3 linked regions of the Rattus norvegicus genome follow. The protein of the gene in region 2 purifies or fractionates together with the protein of the main gene of each other region. This does not show direct contact. Links are inferred from orthologs where the notes say so. Each region holds a gene or a part of one and is shown on either strand. Other genes may lie near its edges.

Region 1 (4,267 bases), on a different chromosome or scaffold from region 2:
CTCTCTCTCTCTCTCTCTCTCTCTCTCTCTCTCTCTCTCTCTCTCCATGCTGGCATATTAACCAACTTGATCTCATGAAAGCAACTACAACTACAGCTACTGTAACTTCATGTGTGCCACAGCTATGTCATATCCAGAAAACAGCAATTCACAACTCTCCGCCCCCATCTTCCAGCTCTCTTTGGTTAGTTTTCCACTGTTTGCTTGCTTGTTTGTTTTTGTAGTGTTGGGGTGAAAATGAGAACCCTTGCCTACTCCAAAATCACTAAGCATCATCTCCAGCCCAATTTTTCCATTGAATTTTTTCACTGCCACCTTATTTTTTTAATTCTGATTTACAGGAGGGGATTTTGAAACAGTATCTCCCTATATATTGGGAGGGTATATTACCACCAAATCTGGCCTTTATTACTGAGACAAGACTTTGCTCTGCATCATCAAACTTTTCCTGCTGTCATTTTTCTAACTTTCTAAATTGAATGGCCAACTCATTCCCTTCTAGCTCTATTTATGTTAATGTGACTTCTGAGGCCATATCTCACATGTTTTGTTTTTCTTTTATGTGCTGCTTTTGTCATCCTTAAGCTCTAATGAATTCAATGTCAAGGGTTTTATCTTGAACCCAGCAGAGTCATCTACTCATCTGTATTGGTACAAGGCTGGTGCAGGCTTAAGTCTCAGAGCTCCTCTAAGATATATGGGGGGCATAGTAGATATATATTTAGCTGAGTGGTAACCCTAAATGAGGACTCAGATCACCAGCAGTGGGGAATGATCTAGGTCATGTCACCTCCTTCTGACATGTTTCTTCTGCTGCAGGGTGACCTGGCCAAGAAGAAGATTTATCCTACCATCTGGTAGGTAATATCTCTACACTACCCCCCAATCAACCACAAAATACTCTCTACAAGGGATAGGCCTTGGCTTTCCCTACCCAGTCTGAAAACAGCTGTACTGTACCGTCAGGTGGCTGTTCCGGGATGGCCTTCTACCCGAAGACACCTTCATTGTAGGCTATGCCCGCTCACGACTCACAGTGGATGACATCCGCAAACAGAGTGAGCCCTTCTTTAAAGTGAGTATGACATTGGATCCTGGAGCCTTTTTCTGCCCTTTCATCTACCCCACAGCAAGACTAGCTCCAGGTATCTCTTGAGGAGACATGTCCCCATTCCCACCATAAGCAACAGTTCCCTCCCTTCTCATTTGACTTGCTAAGAGGCAGGGCCATCCAAAATACTCAAGCTCTGACACCTCACATCCTTGCTTTCCCTTGCCAACCACACAAAAGCTGTGGCTACTGACTTGTGCCACCTTCTCCCTGACCTCTGAACAAAGACAGAGAAAGAAGATCCCTTCTTTTTTTTTTTTTTTTCCAGAGCTGGGGACCGAACCCAGGGCCTTGCGCTTGCTAGGCAAGCACTCTACCACTGAGCTAAATCCCCAACCCCAAGAAGATCCCTTCAACCTCTTATCTATTTTCCAGTTCCACTCTGGCCCCATCCTGCTGTGCTCTGGTTTCACACTAGGACATGGCAGCAGCTGGATGAAGGAGTCTTCCAAGTACCTCTTTTCCCCAGTAATTGTACTGTGTTGACATTTTCTCACCACCTATAGTTTGCTATGATAATTTTGTAGAAACAGCCTTCTTGATCATTCTTTTTTTCTCAGGTCAGACTTTCCTAAAATCCAGTTTCTCCTCTAGGCATGAGGGCCCTGAGGGTACGTAAAATGTGCCAGTGATTTGCCCCATCTGCATACAGTATTCCTGCTATATGCCTCAGTCCCCTGCCTGCAGGTACACAAAGTTACCATGATGAAATAAACTCCTGTACTTGTAGAGCAAGGACAGGACTCAAGGGAAGCCCATCTTAGCTGTGGAACAAGAAATTGTTGAGATAGGAGGGACCAGGATAAAGAAATCTTCTACTCCTTTGGGGCAGAACAAGTGTAGACTCTTGAGAAAAGTAGTTGGCATTGTTCTGTGTATCTCCAGGTCACTCCAGAAGAAAGACCCAAGCTAGAGGAGTTCTTTGCCCGTAACTCCTATGTAGCTGGCCAGTATGATGATCCAGCCTCCTACAAGCACCTCAACAGCCACATGAATGCCCTGCACCAGGGAATGCAGGCCAACCGTCTGTTCTACCTGGCCTTGCCCCCCACTGTCTATGAAGCAGTCACCAAGAACATTCAAGAGATCTGCATGAGTCAGACGTAAGGCCTGTCTTTCCCCACTCCTGTCTGTTTGCTCTTGTTTCTACTACTCTAAACAGCCCCCAGGTCAAGCCAGTCTAGGCAAGCTGAAAAGATGAATGCTCCCAGTTTGTAATCCACATGGATTAATATTCTCAAAAAAGGGGGGAGGGGGACAGGCTCTAAATACTGGAGTTTTCTAACAACCTTTGCTATTACCACACACACTAGGCAGGTTCTAACTTCCAAGGCTCTCACTACAAAATAGTGGCCCCTTGCAACATTTCCCACCATGACCACAAGATGACAGTGTTGATCCACAGAACAGATGCTCATTGTGAGGTTTTTTTTTTTTAACCACCCCCCCTTTTCTCTGAATCCCTAGCAGACCCACAAGGTGGCAGTGTTGTTTCATAAGAGAGCATTACTATCTGCAAGCCATCTTTCTCTTCCTCTTGAATTTAGAAAACATTAGCGCTCTGTTATGAGTGGCAATGAAAGGAACCTGGTCTTTTAAAATCATTGGAAATCTGGGGAAGGTGACATATATAATTCCAGCATCAGGGAGACTGAAGCAAGAGGATTGCTTGGAGTTCAAAGCTAACCCGTAACATAGACTGAGACTGTCTCAAACAAAACAAAATTAAGCTGGGTATAGTGACACACAGTTGTAATTCCAATACTCAGGAGGCAGGAGAATCATTATAATGTTGTCAAGGCCAGCCTGGGCTACATACTAAATTCAAAGTCAGTCTGGTCTTCATAGTAAAAACGTCTCAAAAAGAAAATAAAACCTAATTTAAAAAATAAATAAAATCAATTGAAGTCAGTTGCATTGGGCAATGACTGTAGTCCCTGCTCAAGGATTGAGGCAGGAGTACCCTTTGAACCCAGGAGTTCCAGGACAATCTGAGAAACATAATAAGACTTCAAGAACATAAAACCAATGAGCGAAGCCAAACATGATGGCATGATACCTGTGACCTGTGACCCCAGTTCTTGGGAGGTAGAAACAGGAGAATCAGGAATTTAAGGTCATTCCTAAGTACATAACAAGTTCTGGGCCAACCTTGTATACATGAGACTGTATCTCACACTGACTAAAATAAAACTAGTAAGGAAGCTATGTCCTTGACGTCCCCATCTACCTTCTTTCCTGTTGGCTACTGGGCCACTTCTGACCCACTGAGGATCTGGCATGGGGAGGTGGGGAACAAGGCCACCCAAGAATGTGCCAATCATGCTACCCTAGCACCAAGGTGGGAAAATCCCAGAAACTGTTCTAGTCCCCAGCATGTTGTCGTGGAGGCTTTTAGGTGCTATCTGTGCAGGGTAAAGATCAGTAGCAGCCAGCAGAGCTTCCCTGAGTCACCTGAGAATACAGTGGTTGAAAGCCCTGCTCCCTGGGGTGGGGGGGGGGATGACATAGCCATAGGCCTATTCCTGGGAAAGATTTGAGAAATAACATGATTGGGGGCTCTAAGCAGAGGCTGGAACCGCATCATAGTGGAGAAGCCCTTCGGGAGAGACCTGCAGAGCTCCAATCAACTGTCGAACCACATCTCCTCTCTGTTTCGTGAGGACCAGATCTACCGCATTGACCACTACCTGGGCAAAGAGATGGTCCAGAACCTCATGGTGCTGAGGTGCACGGGGGATGGGGTGGAAAAGGACCAGAGCAAGGGTGGCAATGTGAGGAACCCCACCTGCCCTGCTGCCCAAAGTCAAATTCCTCCTAGATGCTGGCCAAGGTACAAAGCTCTAACTTGGCTCAGATACAGCCACTGTACTGTGGAATCCCAAAGGTAGCATCCATTCATGGACCCTTCCACAATGTCTCTCATGCTAGCCTCTCCTCTGTACCTCTCACAGATTTGCCAACAGGATCTTTGGACCCATCTGGAATCGAGACAACATTGCTTGTGTGATCCTTACATTTAAAGAGCCCTTTGGTACTGAGGGTCGTGGGGGCTATTTTGATGAATTTGGGATCATCAGGTAAGAACCTATATCTACCCCAACTCAGTTCATTTTCACACTGTAAGGACTAGTGTTTAACTGAGCTGATGGGTGT
Region 2 (4,252 bases):
GAGAGTAAAGAACGGAGAATGTAGCTTTTACAGACTCCCCCGCCCCTCCACAGAACCAGTGGAAACTCAAGCCGTCTGGTGGTCTGGGAGCTGACCTGACCCTCCCAGTGAGGCCACCAGGCTGTTTAATGTGACATTCCTGCTGTATGTGGTGGCAGACACTATGATCCCAGCGCTTCAGAGGTACAAACAGGAGGATCAGGAATTAAGGTCGTTCTTGGCTACATAGAGAATTCCAGACTACTCAGGGCTACATGAGACCATATTCTCAACAAACAAAAAACCCAAACAAAGGGTTGGGGATTTAGCTCAGTGGTAGAGCGCTTGCCTAGCAAGCACAAGGCCCTGGGTTCGGTCCCCAGGTCCGAAAAAAAGAAAAGAAAAAAAAAAAAACAAAACAAAAAAAACAAAAAGACAAATGGGGGACTTGAAAAATCCCAAAGTGGATAAAGAGGTGGCTGTGCGAACTTGGGGGCTGAGTTTTGGGTCTACAACTGAGGACATGGCTGCTCTGAGGTGTGGTTAAGGGGAAAGTTTTTACGGTGGATATGAGAGCATACAGTCAGAGGCGTCTGGAAGAATCCAGAGCAGAGAAACTGAACTGCATATGGCCAGCAGATTGGGTGTGTGTGGACAGGAGAGAAGAGAGATTGGGAGAGGGACAGATGCCAGCAAAGAGAGATGGGGCAAAAAAGACCAAGAGAGGGGGATGAGGGAGAGAGGACCAAGAGAGCACATACAGTCGTGAGAAGCTGGGGGAGGGGAGCCCCAAGAACTGGAGACGTTTATGAGTAAGGGGCAGGGTGAGAAGGGCTGAGAAGAGCTAAGAGTAGTATTTCAGTTGCCCAGTGAGCCCAGAGGCCAGTGCTCATTGGTATGCTAATAGACATCACAGGTGACCTTTAACCCTAGTTTCTTTTGTATGGACCACAAAGCAATCCATATAAAAGCTGGAGGTGGCTACCATGTGATGCCTCTAGCCTTTAATCCCAACTCTCCCAGAGGAAACGGCAGGCCGATCTGTGAGATCCAGGCCAGCCTAGTCTAATGAGTTCTAAGACAACCAGGACTACACAGAAAAATCCTGTTTTGAAAAAAGATCCTAATCCTAGCGCTAGGCTGGAGGGGTGGGGCAGTTGCAGAAACAGGAGGATGCTAGGGGGTTCACTGCCCATCCAGTTTGCAGGCACCAGGCTTGATGTCTCCCGAGAGATGGCTCAGCGATTAGGGGGACTGACTGCTCTTCCTAGTACCCAGGTTCAAATTCTAGCACCCGCAGGGCACTCCGAGATCTGACACTCTCTGTAGCTCCAAGATCTGACACTCTCACACAGACGTACAAGCAGGCAAAACGCTGATACACAAAAAATAATGTTTAAAAAAGCATTAAAACAAAAAAGAAAAACCCTGTCTCAAAGAAAGAGAGAAAGGAAGGAGGGAAGGAAGAGAAAAAGAAGTCTCAGGGTCAGTAAGATATTTAGTGGACGAAGGCGCCTGCCACCAAGCCTTTGGTCCCCAAAGAGACACATGGTAGAAGACAGCTAGTCTGGCTGGTCATCCAGAGACCTCCACAGGTGTGCCCTGACAAGTGTGTCCCCACAGGCCTCCTTCTGGCTCAGACCAGGTTCAGTTGCTTCCTAATTGCGACACAAAAGACCGTACCCCTCCTGGTTTATTCTCCACAAACGATGGGACTGGCCCCAGGCCACCGCCCTTCAGACTGCAGCGTTCTAAGCGACAGTGGGAACTGCTCCAGCTACCGGTATTACAGTCATTTGTTTTCTTCAACTAGAGAAGTTTCCAGATGGGGGCAGAACCTTCCTGGCCCTGCCTGCCCGCCCCCTTCGTAAGCTTAGGGGGAGGAATGCAGAGGGGAGGGGCGGCGAGGGACGGCCCCTTAGACGGTCATTGCCATTAATAGAGACCTGAAGCACCGCCTGCTAAAAATACCCGGCTGGACACCCATAAAAGCACAGTTGGGGCTCCAGCTCGGCACTTCTCGGATCCTCAGCCCAGTGCTTCTAGATCCTCAGCCCTGACCAGCTCAGCCAAGACCATGACCGAGCGCCGCGTGCCCTTCTCGCTACTGCGGAGCCCCAGCTGGGAGCCGTTCCGGGACTGGTACCCTGCCCACAGCCGCCTCTTCGATCAAGCTTTCGGGGTGCCTCGGTTTCCCGATGAGTGGTCTCAGTGGTTCAGCTCCGCTGGTTGGCCCGGCTATGTGCGCCCTCTGCCCGCCGCGACCGCCGAGGGCCCCGCAGCAGTGACCCTGGCCGCGCCCGCCTTCAGCCGGGCGCTCAACCGGCAACTCAGCAGCGGTGTCTCAGAGATCCGACAGACGGCCGATCGCTGGCGCGTGTCCCTGGACGTCAACCACTTCGCTCCTGAGGAGCTCACAGTTAAGACCAAGGAAGGCGTGGTGGAGATCACTGGTGAGTTTCCCTTATCCCAAGAGGGGACGAAGCTGGTGGGGCGAGCGAGTAACGTGGTGGCAGTGGAGGTGGGGGGTGGGGGTGGGTGCTGAAACCATGAGGGACAGGACCCTGAAAAGTTAGAAATGAGCTCAGGGACCCGGAGACCCGCGTCATTCTCCCTAGCCTGCTTCTCTTGCCCCGGAACGCGGGGTGCAGGTTTGCTCCTAAAAGCTCTGTCATCTTCGATGATAAGGACCAACAGCTGGGGGTGTAGCTCAGGGCAGAGTCTTGCCTGGCAAGCCCGGAGGCCTTGAGGCCTTGACCACCCGCAGCACAGAAACAAAATGAAGGAAGACCCAAGGCACCTTCTGGAAGACCTCATCCCCAAATAAGCAAGTGGCAGGACTCCAGTCAGGGTCCCTAGACCCAGCCGCGGTGGGGGCGTGCGCACAGCTTCGAGTATGCCTACGCTGGCATCCAAGCCTGGGTCAGAGCCAAGCCCAGGTCCGGGACCTTTGCATCCCAAATCTCAGAAGCGAACTTTCTGGAAAGTTTTAAGATCCCAGACAGTCAGGCATCCCACCACACTCTTAATTTGTTTGCCTCCTTGGGGCCCCAGCCATTCCTTAGCTAGGACTGCAGAGGGCTGCCTCTGACCTCCTTCTGTCCCCACCCACAGGCAAGCACGAAGAAAGGCAGGATGAACATGGCTACATCTCTCGGTGCTTCACCCGGAAATACACGTGAGTTCTGGTTCCTTGCATGGAGAGCTGGGGGGTGGGGGAGCGGACCCTGGGCGGAGGGCGGGGTCAGGAGGGATGTGTAACCCTTGTCCTTTGTTTCTGCTCCTCTAGGCTCCCTCCAGGTGTGGACCCCACCCTGGTGTCCTCTTCCCTGTCCCCTGAGGGCACACTCACCGTGGAGGCTCCGCTGCCCAAAGCAGTCACACAATCAGCGGAGATCACCATTCCGGTCACTTTCGAGGCCCGTGCCCAAATTGGAGGCCCAGAGTCGGAACAGTCTGGAGCCAAGTAGAAGCCTTCAGCTTGCTACCCATCCCCAGTAGCCGTCACCAGCCCTCCCTCTCTGTCAATCTGAATGCTCTTTTGATACATGTACTTTCTGTTTTTCTCAAATAAAAGTTGGAAACTACTGCTCACCACCCTCTCAGAATCCAGAGTTGTTATGGTGGGCTAGGGATGAGTGTTTCTAATTGGAGCACCCTTTGGGGTCTTTGCTAAGTGTTTGCTCTAGGCTCAGCCCCTTCCTCCGTCCAGCCTAATATTCCCCTAGGAAGAGGCAGGGGGTGGGGTGGGGTGGGGGGAGTAACCTGGAGATTAAATTTACCAGACTAGGAATGGTGGTATATGCCTGTAATTCCAATACCCAGAAGTTAATGCAGAAGCATTGTGAATTGGAAGCCAGCCTGGGCTACAGAGTTCTTAGAGTGACTGGGCCACATACATGCTGTCTTCAAAACCAACCAGACAAACAAACATAATAGGAGCTTGGGGTGTGGCTCAATAGAGTGTCCTATGGTGTGCATGAAGCACCATTTGATCCTCTACATCAAATAAACCGGGTACGGTGGCACATTCCAGAAGTGGAGGATCAGAAAGGAGTTCGAGGTTATCCTGGGCTACGTGGCCAAAGTGAGGCCAGCCTGGGATACATGAAAACACCTTAAAGGTAAAAAAAAAAAAAAAAAAAAAAAAAGAGTCAGCCAGACCTACTACTCATCAGATCCAAAGGAAACTCCTCCCCCAGCTGCTGGCTCTGTTCTCTATTAACAGCAATTTCCTTGTCCCCGCTAGTACAGCAAAGCGCTAACTTCCAGG
Region 3 (5,065 bases), on a different chromosome or scaffold from region 2:
TAGATACAATGTATCTAACCCCTTCCTCTATTTCTTTCTGTGTTCCCATATATCCCCCAACTCATGTCATCTTTTTAAAATGTCTATCAAGTGCAGTTAGTGCTTCCAGTGTGCGCATGGGCGTAGGGCCATCCTTTGGTGCACTGGCATCTTCCAGGGCTACATCCATGAAAAAAACAAGCACCCTCAACAGCCAACAACTAGCAAGGGCAATTGTTCCTCTGCTAGGGGAAGGCTAAATGAGCCCTTCCTCACCCTCGATGGAATTTTGACTGGCTCCATACTGTGTAGGTCTCCTGAGAGATCTCCAGCATGGGGTGCACCAGCCCAGTCACGTTGAGAAAGCACCGATTCACAGCAGTCTTCCCCAACCTCTGGCTCCTACAGCCTGGCCATCCCCTGTGCTGTGATGCTCTCTGAGCCTTGTGGGGATACTGTGGGAGATAGATGTTCCATTTAGGACTGTGTGTTTCCCCCACTTTCAATGAGTATCTGTGAAATGGAATTTGCTTTTTCTTGTGATGTTGCGGACTGACCCTTGCATTTGCTAGGTAGACCTCCTGTCACTGAGCTGTACCCTAACTCTTGGGACAGTGTTTCATGTATCTCATGCTGACCTCAAATTCAATATATAGTCAAGGAGAAGCTCTGATTTCTTTTTTTTTTTTCCCTTTCTATTTTTCGAAGCTGGGGACAGAACTCAGGGCCTTGTGCTTGCTAGGCAAGCGCTCTACCACTGAGCTAAATCCCCAGCCCCGAAGCTCTGATTTCTGATCCTCTAGTTTCTACCCCAGGAGTACTGGGATTATAGGCACCCTTTCCCAGGCTCTATGTAATTCTTGGAGATTGAATCCAAGACTGTGTTTGCTAAGTGATCAATCTAGTACCTGTAGCCCAACCCTTGGAATTTTGAGACAAAGTCTTGCATAGACTGCCCTAAAACCCATGATTGTCCTCCCTTTACCTTCCAAGTTCTAGAAAGTTCAGCATGTGCCGCTATGCCCACCTGAAATGGATAGTATTATTTATATTTTATGTGGGTTTTTTTTTTTTTTGAAAGCAAATGTTTGAGGCAGCATCTCACTGTAACCTAAGCTGAGCAGAAACTCACTCTGTAGCCCAGACTGGTCTTGAACTCATGGCAATCCTCCTGCTTCAGCCTTCTAAGTGCTGGAAGTACAGGTGTGAACCACCATGCCCAGCTATATTTTATGTTTTCTTCCTTCCTTCCTTCCTTTCTCTCTTTCTTTTTTTTAAATGTGCATTGGTGTTTTGCCTGAGTTAACAGACTCAGCCACCATGTGGTTGCTGGGAATCGAACCCGGGTCCTCTGGAAGAGCAGCCAGCACTTTTAACCACTGAGCCATCTCTCCAAGTCCCTCTTATTTTATATTTTCTTAATTTAAAAAGTTGTGTGTGTGCTAGGGACTAAGCCCAGGGCTTTTATATGCTAAATACACCTCTTGCCCTTGAACTAACCCCTCACGCCATGTATATTTATGGGTGAGAAAACTGGAACTCTTAGTGATAAGCCGCAGGGTAAGAATTCCAACCTGTTTGGTATTTGGTGTGGCACTGACGTGTGCTGGCCACTGTGCTTGTTCTTTGTCATACCCCTATTTCATTTAATCTTCCCAAAGGACTCACTAGTTTTGCCTAGTATCTCTCTGGAATCATAAATCTGTCTCTCTTCCCTTTCTGGTCCAGAAGTTGTACGTCTTGGATCATGGATTGAGCAGATATGTTCCAGAATAGCTGTGCTTGGTTGACTTAAAGCATCTCCTTAGATTAGTACCTGACTCCCAAACCAGACTCACTGACCTCAGAAAGCAAGCAGGGTGGTGTGACCTCTGTGAGGAGGCTCTGGTACTCCAGACTTCATGGGGTGCTTCCCCTACTAAAACTTACCTCTGTAGTGGCATAAAGAGGACTCTGTTTTCTAGCATGACAGTGTCGCCTTAATTCTAGGGCCACAGAGTTTGAGAGGTAGGAGGACTAAGCTACATAGTGAATTAAAAGCCAGCACAACTTAGACTCTGTCTCAAAAAGCAAACAAACAAACAAACAAACAAACAAAAACAAACACCTTACATAGACTTTAAAGTAACTAAACCTTTTCCTGGGCCCTTAGAGGGAGTGTGGGCCCAGATACACTATGTCCTATGTGTACACAAACTCTGTGGTAAAGTTGGAAGGACAGCTATGGACCTCTAACACAATTTGTTGAGCCTTGGAAGCTTGTTTGTTTTTGTTTTTGTTCTTTCAATTCTGGTCCGTCAGGGTTAAGACTAGGAAAGTGCCCGGTAAATGCCAGGTACGTGTAAACCTTAGCTCGTCCAGCTCCTACCAGGTTCTGACAGAAACCTCCGATTCAACTCCGCAGGTGGTTACCGCCCTGGGTAGAGCCTGGCATCCGGAGCACTTCCTTTGCAGAGGTTGTTCCACAACCCTGGGAGGCAGCAGTTTCTTCGAGAAGGATGGGGCTCCCTTTTGCCCTGAGTGCTACTTTGAGCGCTTCTCCCCACGATGTGGCTTCTGCAACCAACCCATCCGACATGTAAGCTCTGCAGACCCCCACCAATGAACCTGCTTCAGAGGGAACCAGCCAAATCGAAACCCATCTCTTCTACCTACTTCCTCACCTACCTCACCCCGCCTCTTCAGTTTGCCCTCTTCAACCCCAGATTCCTTGTTAGTTCTTCCGCATTCCCTAGTTTCTCAGAGGGAGGTGGAGGGAAGAAGGAAGAGAAGGTGATAGTAGTGTCCTTTTTCATTTTATGCAGAAAATGGTCACCGCCTTGGGCACCCACTGGCACCCAGAACATTTCTGCTGTGTCAGCTGCGGGGAGCCTTTTGGAGAAGAGGGTGAGAGTTGAAACGTAAAAGCTACCAGTCCACTGTCCTGTCCATCCCTGGATCCCAACTCCCGCCCTTATTTCCACCCACCGCCCGTCCTCTCCGTGTCCCAAACCCTATCCCTCCCTCCCTACTGCCGGTACCCCCTGCCATTCTTGAATCTTGTAGTCCCGCCCACATCGTCTGTCCCCGCCCCCAGGTTTCCACGAGCGGGAGGGCCGCCCCTACTGCCGGCGGGACTTCCTGCAGCTGTTCGCCCCGCGCTGCCAGGGCTGCCAAGGACCCATTTTGGATAACTACATCTCGGCACTCAGCGCGCTCTGGCACCCAGACTGCTTCGTGTGCAGGGTGCGTGGCTGTGGGGAGCGGGCCAGAAGCCCAGGGTGGATGCTTCGCTGATTAGTCGCTCCATTTCTGTGCGACTTATGTTGCGAAGTTGCAGGAGTCAGGGTAGATGATAAGTTATCCACACCGGTTCCCTCGTCAGGGTTTTGGCTCATTTTGTTAATTTCTCCTTAGGAATGCCTCGCGCCCTTCTCCGGAGGCAGCTTCTTTGAGCACGAGGGTCGCCCACTGTGTGAAAACCATTTCCACGCTCAGCGTGGTTCGTTGTGTGCCACGTGTGGCCTCCCTGTGACTGGCCGCTGTGTATCTGCTCTGGGCCGCCGCTTCCACCCAGATCACTTTACCTGCACCTTCTGCCTACGCCCACTCACCAAAGGCTCCTTCCAGGAGCGTGCCAGCAAGCCTTACTGCCAGCCTTGCTTCCTGAAGCTCTTTGGCTGACCTCCTCTTGGGATCACAGACCTCCAAAACCACGCCTCCAAAAACCTGTTCTCCCTGAAAAAGACTGGGCCCTCCAGATCCCTAGCTCTGGAGCTGCCCAGGCATTCTTGCCTGTACTCCCACCTCCATCCCCACTATGGCCCGGCCACTGGAGAGTGCTCCAGGTTTGTCAAGCTCAGCAAGGGCCCCACTAGCTCTCACTTTGACACGATTCTGGTTTTCTAATCTGACGGATTAGAGGCCAAGATGTCCCAGTTCACCCATGGCTCACTGTTCTGTACTTTTTTTTTCTACAAACATAAAAACACGCTCCACATCTCACAGTGCCAGCGATCCTTGCTTTACTACCCAGAGCCCTTGCTCTGTGCTCCGAGGGCTCCAGGCCACAGTCCTGTGAGGGGACAGAGGTGCTCCTCCCTGGGATAACAGCAAATAACAGATGAAGGCAGGCATGGGGAGGTGTGTCTGAAATCCCAACACGGAGGCCGGGGCAGATGATCCTAAGCTGCATAGCAAAACTGAGGCCAGGTTGGGTACATAAGACTATCTCAAAACAAAACAAACAAAAAAACCCCCAAACACCTGGAAACCAAAAGTCAAAGCAATGGCGACAGAGTGAAAGGTACAGTAGTCCATGACTCTAATCCCAGCATGCTGGAGGGAAGTTCAACATCAGTTCAAAACAGTCTGGCCAGCCTGGCTCCTGGGTATAAGACCTTGTACCAGTGGGGTGGGGTTAGGGCACCAGACGACCCAGGTTCAATTCCTAGCACCTACATCTGTCTGTAACTCCAGTTCCAGGGAATCCAACACCTTCTTCTGGCCTCTATAGGCACCAGGTACACACATGGTGCACAGACAAACATGCAGACAAAACACCCATACACATAAAACACAATTTTTAGAAAAGGGCTGGAGAAACAGCTCAGTGATTAAGAGTGCTGTATGTTCAGAAGATGTGTGTTCAGTTCCCAGCCCCCACGTGGAGACTCACAATCATTTGTAACTCCCGTTCCAAGGAGTTGAGGACACCATGAGTTATCGTTTATTTAAAAAGACATTTTGAACATAGGTCTTAACCACAAAGTCAAAAGAGAAGCACTGGAGAAGGAAGACGTGCTTCAAACCATAATTGTGGGCTCTGAAAGTCAGACAAGGCAGCTCTGTGTTCTAGGGTGAGCATATAGGATTTTAACTGCTAACAAGTTTCTCGGGCTCCCTCCGCTTCTCGGTCTCTGTCTCTCTTTTCGGTACTTTAGATTATTGGGTGGACATCTGGACAAAGTGAGAGCTACAGAATGGGAGAAGATCATTACCAATTACACATCTGATAGGTCAATATGACATATAAAAAGAACTAAGACAAAACCCTGGATGTTAAGAAAACAAAGCCCAATTAAAACAGGTTCTCAAGGGGTTGGGG

The links. Proteins that work in one complex are often made in the same cells at the same time.
Region 1: the proteins of Hspb1 (region 2) and G6pd fractionate together in Homo sapiens (co-fractionation; 3 studies listed by BioGRID and IntAct, with this or other methods). This does not show direct contact. The link is inferred for Rattus norvegicus from reciprocal best matches to the Homo sapiens genes HSPB1 and G6PD.
Region 3: the proteins of Hspb1 (region 2) and Tgfb1i1 purify together in Homo sapiens (affinity purification with western blotting; 3 studies listed by BioGRID). This does not show direct contact. The link is inferred for Rattus norvegicus from reciprocal best matches to the Homo sapiens genes HSPB1 and TGFB1I1.

Annotation. Positions count from the first base shown.
Region 1 is NC_086039.1:157,354,781-157,359,047, reverse strand, and holds part of G6pd (glucose-6-phosphate 1-dehydrogenase), read left to right. Parts: exon of another isoform or gene 1-769; intron 770-819; coding exon 820-857; intron 858-966; coding exon 967-1,075; intron 1,076-1,996; coding exon 1,997-2,214; intron 2,215-3,680; coding exon 3,681-3,839; intron 3,840-4,065; coding exon 4,066-4,191; intron 4,192-4,267. UniProt on the Homo sapiens protein: Catalyzes the rate-limiting step of the oxidative pentose-phosphate pathway, which represents a route for the dissimilation of carbohydrates besides glycolysis.
Region 2 is NC_086030.1:26,429,972-26,434,223, reverse strand, and holds Hspb1 (heat shock protein beta-1), read left to right. Parts: upstream 1-1,922; 5' UTR 1,923-2,056; coding exon 2,057-2,432; intron 2,433-3,093; coding exon 3,094-3,157; intron 3,158-3,268; coding exon 3,269-3,449; 3' UTR 3,450-3,584; downstream 3,585-4,252. UniProt on the Homo sapiens protein: Small heat shock protein which functions as a molecular chaperone probably maintaining denatured proteins in a folding-competent state. Plays a role in stress resistance and actin organization.
Region 3 is NC_086019.1:192,261,703-192,266,767, forward strand, and holds the end of Tgfb1i1 (transforming growth factor beta-1-induced transcript 1 protein), read left to right. Parts: intron 1-2,383; coding exon 2,384-2,557; intron 2,558-2,783; coding exon 2,784-2,865; intron 2,866-3,055; coding exon 3,056-3,204; intron 3,205-3,375; coding exon 3,376-3,642; 3' UTR 3,643-4,201; downstream 4,202-5,065. UniProt on the Homo sapiens protein: Functions as a molecular adapter coordinating multiple protein-protein interactions at the focal adhesion complex and in the nucleus. Links various intracellular signaling modules to plasma membrane receptors and regulates the Wnt and TGFB signaling pathways.